3 linked regions of the Callithrix jacchus genome follow. The protein of the gene in region 2 interacts with the protein of the main gene of each other region in a biochemical or structural test. Links are inferred from orthologs where the notes say so. Each region holds a gene or a part of one and is shown on either strand. Other genes may lie near its edges.

What was found.
Region 1: the proteins of KDR (region 2) and HSPG2 form a complex in vitro, tested with the Homo sapiens proteins (2 studies listed by IntAct). The link is inferred for Callithrix jacchus from reciprocal best matches to the Homo sapiens genes KDR and HSPG2.
Region 3: the proteins of KDR (region 2) and SHC2 form a complex in vitro, tested with the Homo sapiens proteins (2 studies listed by BioGRID). The link is inferred for Callithrix jacchus from reciprocal best matches to the Homo sapiens genes KDR and SHC2.

What each region holds. Positions count from the first base shown.
Region 1 is NC_133508.1:58,640,287-58,643,932, reverse strand, and holds part of HSPG2 (basement membrane-specific heparan sulfate proteoglycan core protein), read left to right. Parts: intron 1-1,569; coding exon 1,570-1,670; intron 1,671-1,758; coding exon 1,759-1,939; intron 1,940-3,031; coding exon 3,032-3,157; intron 3,158-3,268; coding exon 3,269-3,421; intron 3,422-3,495; coding exon 3,496-3,638; intron 3,639-3,646. UniProt on the Homo sapiens protein: Integral component of basement membranes. Component of the glomerular basement membrane (GBM), responsible for the fixed negative electrostatic membrane charge, and which provides a barrier which is both size- and charge-selective.
Region 2 is NC_133504.1:141,642,112-141,645,757, forward strand, and holds part of KDR (vascular endothelial growth factor receptor 2), read left to right. Parts: intron 1-1,791; coding exon 1,792-1,906; intron 1,907-1,993; coding exon 1,994-2,157; intron 2,158-3,646. UniProt on the Homo sapiens protein: Tyrosine-protein kinase that acts as a cell-surface receptor for VEGFA, VEGFC and VEGFD. Plays an essential role in the regulation of angiogenesis, vascular development, vascular permeability, and embryonic hematopoiesis.
Region 3 is NC_133523.1:431,786-435,431, forward strand, and holds part of SHC2 (SHC-transforming protein 2), read right to left. Parts: intron 2,477-3,646; coding exon 2,416-2,476; intron 2,149-2,415; coding exon 2,029-2,148; intron 1,434-2,028; coding exon 1,380-1,433; intron 1,185-1,379; coding exon 1,133-1,184; intron 1,035-1,132; coding exon 908-1,034; intron 1-907. UniProt on the Homo sapiens protein: Signaling adapter that couples activated growth factor receptors to signaling pathway in neurons. Involved in the signal transduction pathways of neurotrophin-activated Trk receptors in cortical neurons.

The sequences.
Region 1 (3,646 bases), on a different chromosome or scaffold from region 2:
TCCCAGTAAAGGCTGTGTGATCAAGCAAATTGCCACCGTGAGCAGTTGTCGCTTACTGCAACCGAGGAAGCTTTTGGGAGCCAGTGTAAAACATGCACCTCAGAGTCACCCTGCCCCGGGGCCCAGGGAGCTGCAGTATTTCTAAGTCAGCCCCTGTCGGTCATTGGCTGAGACCTATTCCGGGAGCAGCAAGTCCCCTGCACGTCTGTCCCACCCATGGACATGCACAGTGGGCTCCAGTGGCCCGAGAAAGCCCTCAGTGCAAAGAGGCACAGTGGCTGGCAGAAGTCAGGCAGGCAGGCACTGGGGGACCATGGCTAGGCCACCAGCAGCGCAGGCTACAAACAGGTCAGAGAGAATCCCAAGTTTGCTGTGGGCGTGTTCAAGAGTGAGACGTTTGGGAAGACATCTCATTGGGTCCACCAGGCAGGCATTTGGGTATGTGAGTGTGAGCTCCCGAAAGGGGCCACAGCCAGATAAATGAGTCTGGGAGCTGTTGACACAGAGATGGTGTTCAAAGCTGTGGGGCAGAATGAAGTCACCCAGGGAGAGTGTGGCCGGAGGACAGGGCCCCTGCCCAGAGTCCCGAGGAGCTCCAGCGTGAACATGTCCAGTGGAAGAGGAAGGGTGGGAAGAGCCTAAGAGAGTGCAGCCACGAGGCAGGGGAGGCATGGGGCATCCTGGGAGTCAGAGGGAAAAGGACTTCCTGGGCAGCCTCCCCACTGGGAAGTCAGATAAGGGCAGAAAAGTAGCCCTTAGAGGTCATGCTTTGACAAGAGAGAAGGGATAGAAGCCAGATTGGAAGGAGGCAACGCATGGATGGGAAGGTGGTGAGTGTGAACAACTCTTGCAAGAGTCTTGGCTCTGAAGGGAGGCCAGGAAACGATCATTGGCTGTGAGAGCATGAGGTCAAGGGGGAGTTTTCAGAAATGGGAAATTCTAGAGAGCCCTCTGTGGAGGGAGGTGATGGCGTGAGAAGGAGAGGAGACGCTGATGTCGTGAGAGCGGAGGAAGCCCTTGGGAGGGGTGGGCACTCAGGAGGCACCACAGTGGGACAGGGTGGGGGCACGAGAAGGGGCCCGTCCTTTAGGTGCCAGCACCTGGTAGATGTGAGAGCTGGGAACACTCCTGACTAGTCATTTCTCTCTTCTCAAGTGTGTGTCGGTGCCACTAGCTGTGACAATGGAAGAGCGGTTAGAGAGGCTGGAGGTGGGAGGATGTGTGAAATAGCTGTTGTCGGGGTACAGAAACTCAAACCAGATGGAGAAAGCCAATTGGAGGGAAGTGTGATGTGTTAGCTCATTTGTGGTCTGTGACCAGGAACTGGAGCCAAGTAGACTCATGGTGTGATGTTCCCCAACCACATCCCGTGGCTGCTCCATGTGGCCAGGAGAGCGGGGATGGTGGGGGTCAGCCAGAATGGGGGAGGCAGGCATCAGGGGGTGGAATGAGAGCTAAGCTGGACCAGGAAGGAAGTGATGCCTAGAAGAGGTTTTGGAGAAAGACAGAGCAGCCACAGGCCCAGGGCCCAGCCAGCACTGGCTCACTGGAAGCTTCCTGTCCCCACAGAGGCTCCGAGCAAGCCCATCACAGTGACCGTGGAGGAGCAGCGCAGTCAGAGCGTGCGCCCTGGAGCCGACGTCACCTTCATCTGCACAGCCAAAAGCAAGGTGTGCAGGGCAGGGAGTGGGGATTCGGGAGTCTGTCTTCTGGGGTCTCTGAGTGCCGCCCATGACCCCCTTTTGCTTTGTCCTGCAGTCTCCAGCCTATACTCTGGTGTGGACCCGCCTGCACAATGGGAAACTGCCCGCCCGAGCCATGGATTTCAATGGCATCCTGACCATTCGCAATGTCCAGCTGAGTGACGCGGGCACCTATGTGTGCACCGGCTCCAACATGTTCGCCATGGACCAGGGCACAGCCACTCTACACGTGCAGGGTACACCTCCCTTCTATACCTGATCCTCCCACACCAGCTTCCCCCCATGCCCACCAGGATTAGCGCAGCGTTTCTTCATTCAACTGATCATGTCTGAGCACCTGCGGCACGCCTAGTCCTGGTCTAGGCTCTGCAGAAGCAGGGGAGAGCAGCATGTACGGGATCTCAGCCCTCCTGAAGCACATGTTCTAGGCAGGGAGACCATAAGTGTGAGAATCAATGGATAAGCAAGATAACTACACATGACAATGAGTGCAGGCTAGGCATAACAGTGAAACGAGGTGGGGGAAGGCTGGGTGTCATGGCCCATGCCTATAATCCTAGCACTTTGGGAGGCTGAGGCGGGCGGATCACTTGAGGTCAGGAGTTCCAGACCAGCCTGGCCAACATGGTGAAACTCTGTCTCCACTAAAAATACAAAAATTAGCTGGGCATGGTGGTGGGCACCTGTAATCCCAGCTACATGAGAGGCTGAGGCAGGAGAATCACTTGAACCCGGGAAGCAGAGGTTGCAGTGAGCTGAGATCATGCTGCTGCACTCCAGCCTGGGGGACAGAGCAAGACTCCGTCTCAAAAATAAAATAAAATAAAACAAGATGGGAGAAGCAGGGGCTACTCTAGACACAGTCAGGCAGGCTTCTCTGAGGAGGTGACTCCTAAGCTGAGGCCTGAAGGAAGGGTAGGCATTGAGCAAGTTAGAGAGCTGGCAGAGTGTTCTCTGCAGAGGGAGCAGCACTTGCAAAGGCCCTGAGGCAGGAGCACCTTGCTGTGTCTGGGGAACAGCAGAGACCACGTGACTGGGCTGTGGGAGGGAGGAAGGGTGTGGGCAGAGGGGAGAGCATGCAGTATGTGATGGATCAGGGTAGGGATTTTGGCTTTTATTTTAAAAGCAACAGGGAGTCACAGACAGGTCTCAAGAGGGACGGTCATAAGGTCATACTGACATTTCCAAAGCTCTCTTTGGCTGTTGTGTGCACAGATGGCCATGGAGGGCTAGCCTGGAAGCAGAGAGAGTGGCAGAGTGTTCTCTGTCGTGTGAGTCAGATGACACTCCCCAACGCTGACGTCATGTTCCTTTTCCTCCCTTGTCAGCCTCGGGTACCTCGTCCGCCCCCGTGGTCTCCATCCACCCGCCACAGCTCACAGTGCAGCCAGGTCAACTGGCCGAGTTCCGCTGCAGCGCCACAGGGAGCCCCACACCCCGCCTCGAGTGGGCAGGTGAGGCCATGATGGGGATGCCATTCAGGGCCTGACTCTCCTGGGTGTGGGAGGGCAGGAGCAGGACTCTGAGCAGGCTCGGTGGGTGCTGACCCCAGGTCTACTCACCAGGGGGCCCTGACGGCCAGCTCCCTGCGAAGGCACAAGTCCAAGGTGGCATCCTGCGTCTGCCAGCCGTCGAGTTTGCAGATCAGGCCCAGTACCTGTGCCGAGCCCACAGCAGCGCTGGGCAGCAGGTGGCCCGGGCTGTGCTCCATGTGCATGGTGAGAGGCTGGGCTCGGGTGGGGCTGGGAGGGAGCTCAGCCCGGGCTGTGTTCTCACGGGACTCTGTCTGCAGGGGGCAGTGGGCCCAGAGTCCAAGTAAGCCCAGAGAGGACCCAGGTCCACGAAGGCCGTACCGTCAGGCTGTACTGCAGGGCTGCAGGCGTGCCCAGCGCCACTATCACCTGGAGGAAGGAAGGGGGCAGCCTCCCACCACAGGTAAGATC
Region 2 (3,646 bases):
GCAACAACAGGGAAACTCCTTCTCAAAAAAAAAAAACAAAAAAAAAAACAAAAAACTAAGGTATAACTTTTGACTTCCACAAAATGTAACAAATAGCCTACTGTTGACTGGAAGCCTTACTGATAACATAAACAATCAGTTAACACATATTTTGTTTATTTGTATTATATAATGTATTCTTACAATAAAGCTAGATAAAAGAAAATGTTAAGAAAATCATAAGGAAAAGAAAATATATTTACTATTCATTAAATGTGAGTGGATCATGATAAAGGTCTTCATCCTTGTCTTCATTTTGAGTAGGCTGAGGAAAAGGGGGAAGAGGAGGAGATGGTTTTGCTGTCTCGGGGGTGGCAGAGGTGGAACAAAATCTGCTTATGGGTGGACTCATGCAGTTCAAATTTGTGTTGTTCAAGGGTCAACTGGCACTGAACTGGAACTAAATTGAACTGGCTTTGAGTAAATCATCTTAATTTTTTGTTTACTTTCTTTCATTTACATCTATATCTGAGTTTACATGATAATTTGTGTGGCATCCTACTTACAAGGCTTGGAAAGGATTTTGGATTTTATGAGACTGTGTCAATAAAATGAAATTTAAAAGATTCCTTCGGTAATACTATTTATTTGAGTTATGAAAGTGGCAATAACAAGTATGATTTAGTGAGCACCTACTTCATTAACTCGTCTCACCTTCGAAGTTGATGTTGGAACTCAAGTTCCTGACTACAAAGCTGTGCTTTTGACCTCTAGGTCATGTGACATCCCTAGCAAGAACTTGAAAGTTTCTTTTGAATGAACAAAATAGAAATCACTGTGTCCTAAATTTATTTAAATTATTTCACTTGCCGAGATGCTCTTGTCAAAATGCCCAGAGAGTCATGCTCTGGCTTATGTTTTTATAGAATTACTCTTGTCCTCCAGAATACTTTAGGGAAATAGGGGCAGAAATAAGGAGGTCAGTTGGGAGGCCAATTGAAATCATCCAGGTGAGAGTTGAGGGGTGGCTTGGACAAGGGTCGTTGAGGTAGAAGTAGTGAGAAGTGATCTGATTCTGGATATGTTTTGAAGGTAGAGTGAAAAGGATCTGCTGATCAACTCATTGATTGTGGAGTAAAAGGGATAAACAGTGGAAGATGACTCGGTTGTGAGCATGAGCAACTGAGTAAATGGTGGTGTTATTTACTGAGATGGCAAAGATCGAGGAGGCAGTGAGATTTAGGGAAACGGTGTTAGGTGTGTTTATCTGCAGATGCCTGTTAAACATTCAAGTGGAGATACTTAATATATCAACCTGGAACCCACAGGAGTCAGGGCAGGAGAAGATACAACTTTTGGAGGTACATGAATGATACTTTAAACCTGAGACTAAAGGATGGTGTAGATAAAGCGGAGGTCTGAGGCCTATTAACACTTGGTGGAAGAGGTGTGTGGAGGGTATCATGGGAGCACAGGAGAAGGAGCACCCAGGCATCCCTGGGGCACTTAGAGAAAGCTGCACAGAGGAACAGGTGTTTGAGCTGAGACTTGAGAAATCACTAGGCTTGTGGGAGTGTGCTAGCGGGGAGAGAAAAGCAACACAAACACAAGCGGTGTGGGAAAAACACCGGAGGTGGGGGAGAAGCACAAGAGGTGGGGGAGAAGCTGGACTGTGACCCAGAGGGAATCTTGGAACTGCAACTGCTCAGATCCTCAAGGTCTTTGACTTCTCACTTAAAATAAAAAACTAAACCAAATGACCATTTACAGGAAGTTGACATTTATGAGAATAATTATTTTATTTTCTTCCAGAAAAACCTTTTGTTGCTTTTGGTAGTGGCATGGAATCTTTGGTGGAAGCCACGGTGGGGGAGCGTGTCAGAATCCCTGTGAAGTACCTTGGTTATCCACCTCCTGAAATAAAATGGTAACTACTGGAAATAAATGCAAAGCATCATTTCTTGTGAGAGTAAATCCTTCGACTGTACTAATTGCTGAGAATTCTTGTTCATAGGTATAAAAATGGAATGCCCCTTGAGTCCAACCACACAATTAAAGTGGGGCATGTACTGACGATTATGGAAGTGAGTGAAAAAGACACAGGAAAATACACTGTCATCCTTACCAATCCCATTTCAAAGGAGAAGCAGAGCCACGTGGTCTCTCTGGTTGTGTATGGTGAGTCCATTCAGTTTTCCTCTCCGCCCAAGATTTGTTATGATATGTTGTCTTCCTACTCAGCCAAGCCACCATTCCTCTGCCTCCTGCTGCTTCACTCACATCATGGCTGGGCCTTTGTACAAAAGTCATCTGGGGCGGTGAAGCTGAAATGTAGGACCGTGTGCTCTGGCCATGTTTGTTTAAGAGGCCATGTAAATGGGCTTTATGGTGGGAAATGCAAGATTAAAGTAGCAATACCCTCGATCACGAAATGCTGTGAAATAAGAATGCCCATAGGGACAGTTGTCAAGCTAAGTTATACTACCATTGTTCCCCTCTCACGGAATTGCCCACCTGGTATGCAGATGTGTAAGACCCTTCTCCTTGGATTTTGTGCAAAGCTTCTAGTTTGATATTGTAGTTGATGTGTCAGTGATGTACAGGTGGATTCCAACTCTGAAGGCTTTTGAAGTTGACACTGTTGGCCTGGTTGGAATCTTGTTTTCTTTTTTGACAGGAGTTCAGGATCTGATTTTGAGTCTAAAGGAAAGATAGTAAGTTTTCGATTTAAAGATGATTTGAACTTTGTGTTCGGAAACCAAATGGCACGAAGTGTTTGGAATGGAGTGGGGAGAAGGGTGCCATGGTCAGGTGAGCGTGAGAGGTGCCAAGGTGATGTGTAGATGTTGAGCAGGCTTCTTCATTGCGGGACTTCTCAGAACCTTTAATATGCTAATGCAGATTGGTGTTCTCTAGGATGACAGACAGAGAATTCAAGGTTTAACGAACCTATTTGACCACAGCTGCCTTTGTCCCCAGAGCAAATTTGTTAATCTCTCACTCCAAACAGTTTGAGAAATGCTTCTCTGCTGTAATTCTTTGTTCTCCCTTCTGGTATGGCATATTAAAATTTCAGGATGTTTTCACATGACATTAAGGTGCTTCCATACGTGTCCTGATACTCCTCTGTATGCCTGCTGAGCTTGGCTTTATTTCTTTTTTCAGGGAATATTTTAAAGATAACGGGTTCCAGAAAGGTTGCTTAGAAGTTGTGTAGGTGTAGGGGACTGGGGAGAGGAGGAACTGGGAAGTGTATAAGTAGGATGGGAGGAGGAAGTGAACAAGAAGTAAAGACAAAACATGGACAGCAGGTAGCCCATTTTATCAGTTCACAAAGCCACTAAATATTTGATTCACTTTAGCATATACTCTGCTATATGAAATAAAGATAAATAAGAAGTCAAATCTTGAAAGCATCATCTGAGGCTTTAGGTTGACAGTAATAAGGAGATAGTTTTGACTTTGCAGCCAAAAAAGATAGAAAGGAGGTTGGGCATGGTGGCTCACACCTGTAATTCCAGCACTTTGGGAGGCCGAGGTGGGTGGATCACGAGGTCAAGAGATCGAGACCATCCTGGCTAACATGGTGAAACCCTGTCTCTACTAAAAATAGAAAAATTAGCCGGGCATGGTGGCATGTGCCTGTGGTCCCAGCTACTTGGGAGGC
Region 3 (3,646 bases), on a different chromosome or scaffold from region 2:
AGCTGATACCCAGAACCAGGACACCACGGGCCAGGGTGGCAAGTCTCTGGGATCAGAGCGCCCCTGCCCTCTGGCCCGACGGTGCTGGCAGAGATGTATCCTGCAGGCGCCCCTCAGCAAGCCGAAGAGGGTGCCCCTTGCCTGGCCCGCAGTCACTGATGGGCAAATCACAGGACAGCCTACGAAAGCGGAGGCCGCCCCAGAGGCAGGCGAAGGTCCGTCCCAGCTCCAGAGCGCACCGTCCCCGTGCACGAAGGGACAAGAGTGGGCACGCGTGCAACGCCGCCTCCCTCGTGGCCAGAGGGGCCGGGGGCTCACGCGCCTGCACCTGCCCCGCCACCGTTGGAGGAACCTGACTTTCTGATGATGAACAGACACTTAAATAGCTCCTTCTTCAAGCCGGGCTGGCGAACCCCAGCCCGAGGCCAAAGCCAGCTCACTGCCTGGCTCTGTTTGGCCCACGAGCTAAGAATGAGTTAAAAGTTATGTGTTTGAGAAAACACCCAGAGAATAACATTTGGCAACACGTGACAGTGACATGACATCCACGTTTCAGTATCTATAAATAGCATGCTGCCAGCACACAGCCACGTCCCCCACTTAACGCATCTTGTGGGGAAACGGAGGCCGTTTTCTGCCCTTTGCAGGAGCCAGCTGCCGTCTGGAGGAGGGATATTGGTAACAGCAGCAGGGCTGACAGCCTCGGGCACACTCAGGAGTCAGCTCGCTCATGTCTCCCTGAAGCCCAGGGGGCAGGGATGCTCTAACTCAGGTTTTACAGCAGAGGAAGCACAGGCAGGGAGGGACCAGGGCAGGTGGGGGCTCGGGCCTTCAGGGGGTGGAGCGGGCTCTGCACCTGGACAGGTCCCTGGGGGTCCCCGGGGCGGGGTGGGGATGGGTCAGTTACCTTTCCGGGGGCAGGGCCACCTTAGGCGGGCTGTGTAGGTACTGCTTGAAGCGCAGCTCAAAAGCTTGGCCCACGGTACTGATGACACTCTGCGCCAGGCCCTCGCAGCACTCCAGGATGTGGCAGGCTGCGGGGTCATGCGGTCAGGTGGCCTCCAAGCCACACGGCCATGCCCCAGCCACGCGGCCACGGGCCCCCACCAGCCGTCCCATTCCGGGGCCTCACCTCTCTGGTTGATGGGGTCCTTGGCGACGTAGGCCACGTAATCCGTCATGTCCTGGGGGTAGGGAGGGGCCAGCTGGACCTGCCTGGGCCCCCCACCAGGACTCCCAGTTGCCCACCCCAGCGATGCACAGAGAGGGGCAGGGGGAGTGGGCAGAGGGTACTGGAGACGGGGTCTGGGAAAGGGCCAGAGGGTCTCACGGCCGGAGGGGGCAGCAGGCTGCAGGTCCATCCCCATCCCCAGCCTTACCGTGTCTCCGCCTGATGCGAAGGAGATGGATGGCATGTGGTGGGTGGCGATGACCTGCGGTGGCAGGAGGGGAACGGTCACGGGGGTCCCACTTCCAGGGCAGGGGACACACGTACACACACTTATACACCATGAGCAGCCACACTTGACACACCCACCTGCCCAGATGCTCAAACACATGTCCCACGCCCTGACACACGTGTGCACACTCACACTCAGACACCCTGACCACCCACACTTCGCACACGCACCTGCCCAGAAGTTAGCAGGGGTCAGGGGTCAGGGGTCAGGGGTCAGGGGTCAGGGATTTGGGGCTGGGCAGCATCTCTGGGCTGCTATGGGGGCTTCAGGAAGGAGCGGCAAGGGGCAGAGGGGGGCTTCAGGGAGGGGGCTGGAGAAAGATGGAGCCAGTGAGGGGTGGTGGCTGAGGGCCGTCTCAGTGCAGTTTCATTTCTGCTCCCACCCTGCGGGCATAGACCCCAACCACCATGCAGGCAGGCCACCGAGGCTCCGAGCAGACCCTCCTGGCTGGGCCGGAGTTGGGCCTGACACACGCCCCCAGCACCCCACACAGCTTTCCCTCAGTGGGTCCCGGATCTCCCTGCCCCTCTGGGGGTCTGGGGACGCCAGGGGAGGAGGGCAGACCCACCTGGCGCGTGGCAGGCACAGAGAGGCTGAGACCGTCAGTGGAGATGTGGATGGAGATGCTCATGCCGGCAAATCGAAGGTTGCTCTTGCCCAGGACGGATGCCAGCGCCTTGTTGGGGGCCTGAGTTAGGGCGAGCACAGCGAGGGCTTCCGTGGGTGGGGGCCGTTGTGGCTGGGGGCGCCATGGGTGGGACTGCTGTGGGTGGGGGCTGCCATGGGTGAGGCCACCGTGGGTGGGGGCGCCGTGGGTGGGGGCTGCTGTGAGTGGGACTACTGTGGGTGGGGCTACGGTGGGTTGGGCCGCCGTGGGCAGGGGCCATGGAGGGGCTCCCAGGATGGCCCCAACTGCCCACCAGCCACCCCAGGAGAGGCCAGGAGCCTCACTCACCTTTCTCTTCCAGGATCCCCGGACGCCAGGCACAGCCTCATGGAGACGGTTGATGGCTTCCCTGGGGTTGGGAGGAGGAAGCTTAGCGAGTGTGGTGGGGGGCGGTCAGGGAGGGAGCTGGGGAGGAAAGGGTCAGAGAGACCGGTATGCAGAAGGCACAGGAGCTCAGAGAAGGGTGGGAGCCAGAGGGGAGAGGAAGGCAGAGAGGGAGATGTGGGAGAGGGCTGGGGGCCTTAGTTGTGGAGGGGAGGGGCTGGGGGACCTGGGGAGGGGTGCCCACCAGGACAGGCACGGAGCCCACCCCAAGTGCGTCCTTGCGTGCGGCAGATGCCCGGCCCCCAGCTCCGGCCCCTCGAACCCTCTTTCTTTCCCAGGGACCAGTGACACCCTGGTCTCAGCCCACAGGGAAGGCTCGGGGCCAGGTCTGGGGGGCTAGACCAGCGAGCGGGAGACCCAGAGCCTGATGCTGTCTGCAGCGCTGGAGCAGCGACCTCTGCTCTGGAGGGCCCCTGAGTGTGAAAGGAGCTGACCCCAAACCAGTGCCTCAAACCACGGGTCCCAGGAGAGGTTAGAATGCTGTGGGGTCCACGGCAGGCAAGGCTCACACCTGTAATCCCAACAATTTGGGAGGCCAAGATGGGCTGATCATTTGAGGTCAGGAGTTTGAGACCAGCCTGGACAACAGGGTGAAACACCATCTCTACTAAAACACAAAAATTAGCCGGGCGTGGTGGCAGGTGCCTGTAGTCCCAGCTACTCGGGAGGCTGAGGCAGGAGAATCACTTGAACCTGGGAGGAAGAGGGTGCGGTGAGCCGAGATCCTGCCATTGTACTCCAGCCTGGGCAACAAGAGCAAAATTCCATCCCCTCCTCCAAAAAAAAACTCTCCGGGGTCCTGAAGGAGGCTTGGAAACGTCAGCATCCTGTGGAGAAACCAGACCCCACCCAGGGCGCGTGGAAATTTTCATGGCACAGCCGCTGTGCAGACTGGGGGCCCCCTCAAAAGGTTAGGGTCACCACGTAACCCGGAATTTCACTCCCAGGTGTGTTCCCAAGAGAAACAGAAACACGTTCACAGGCCGGGCGCAGTGGCTCACGCCTGTAATCCCAGCACTTTGGGAGGCTGGGGTGGGTGGATCACCTGAGGTCAGGAGTTCGAGACCAGCCTGAGCAACGTGGTGAAACCCTGTCTTTAATAAAAATACTTAAAAATTAGCCGGGTGTGTTGGTA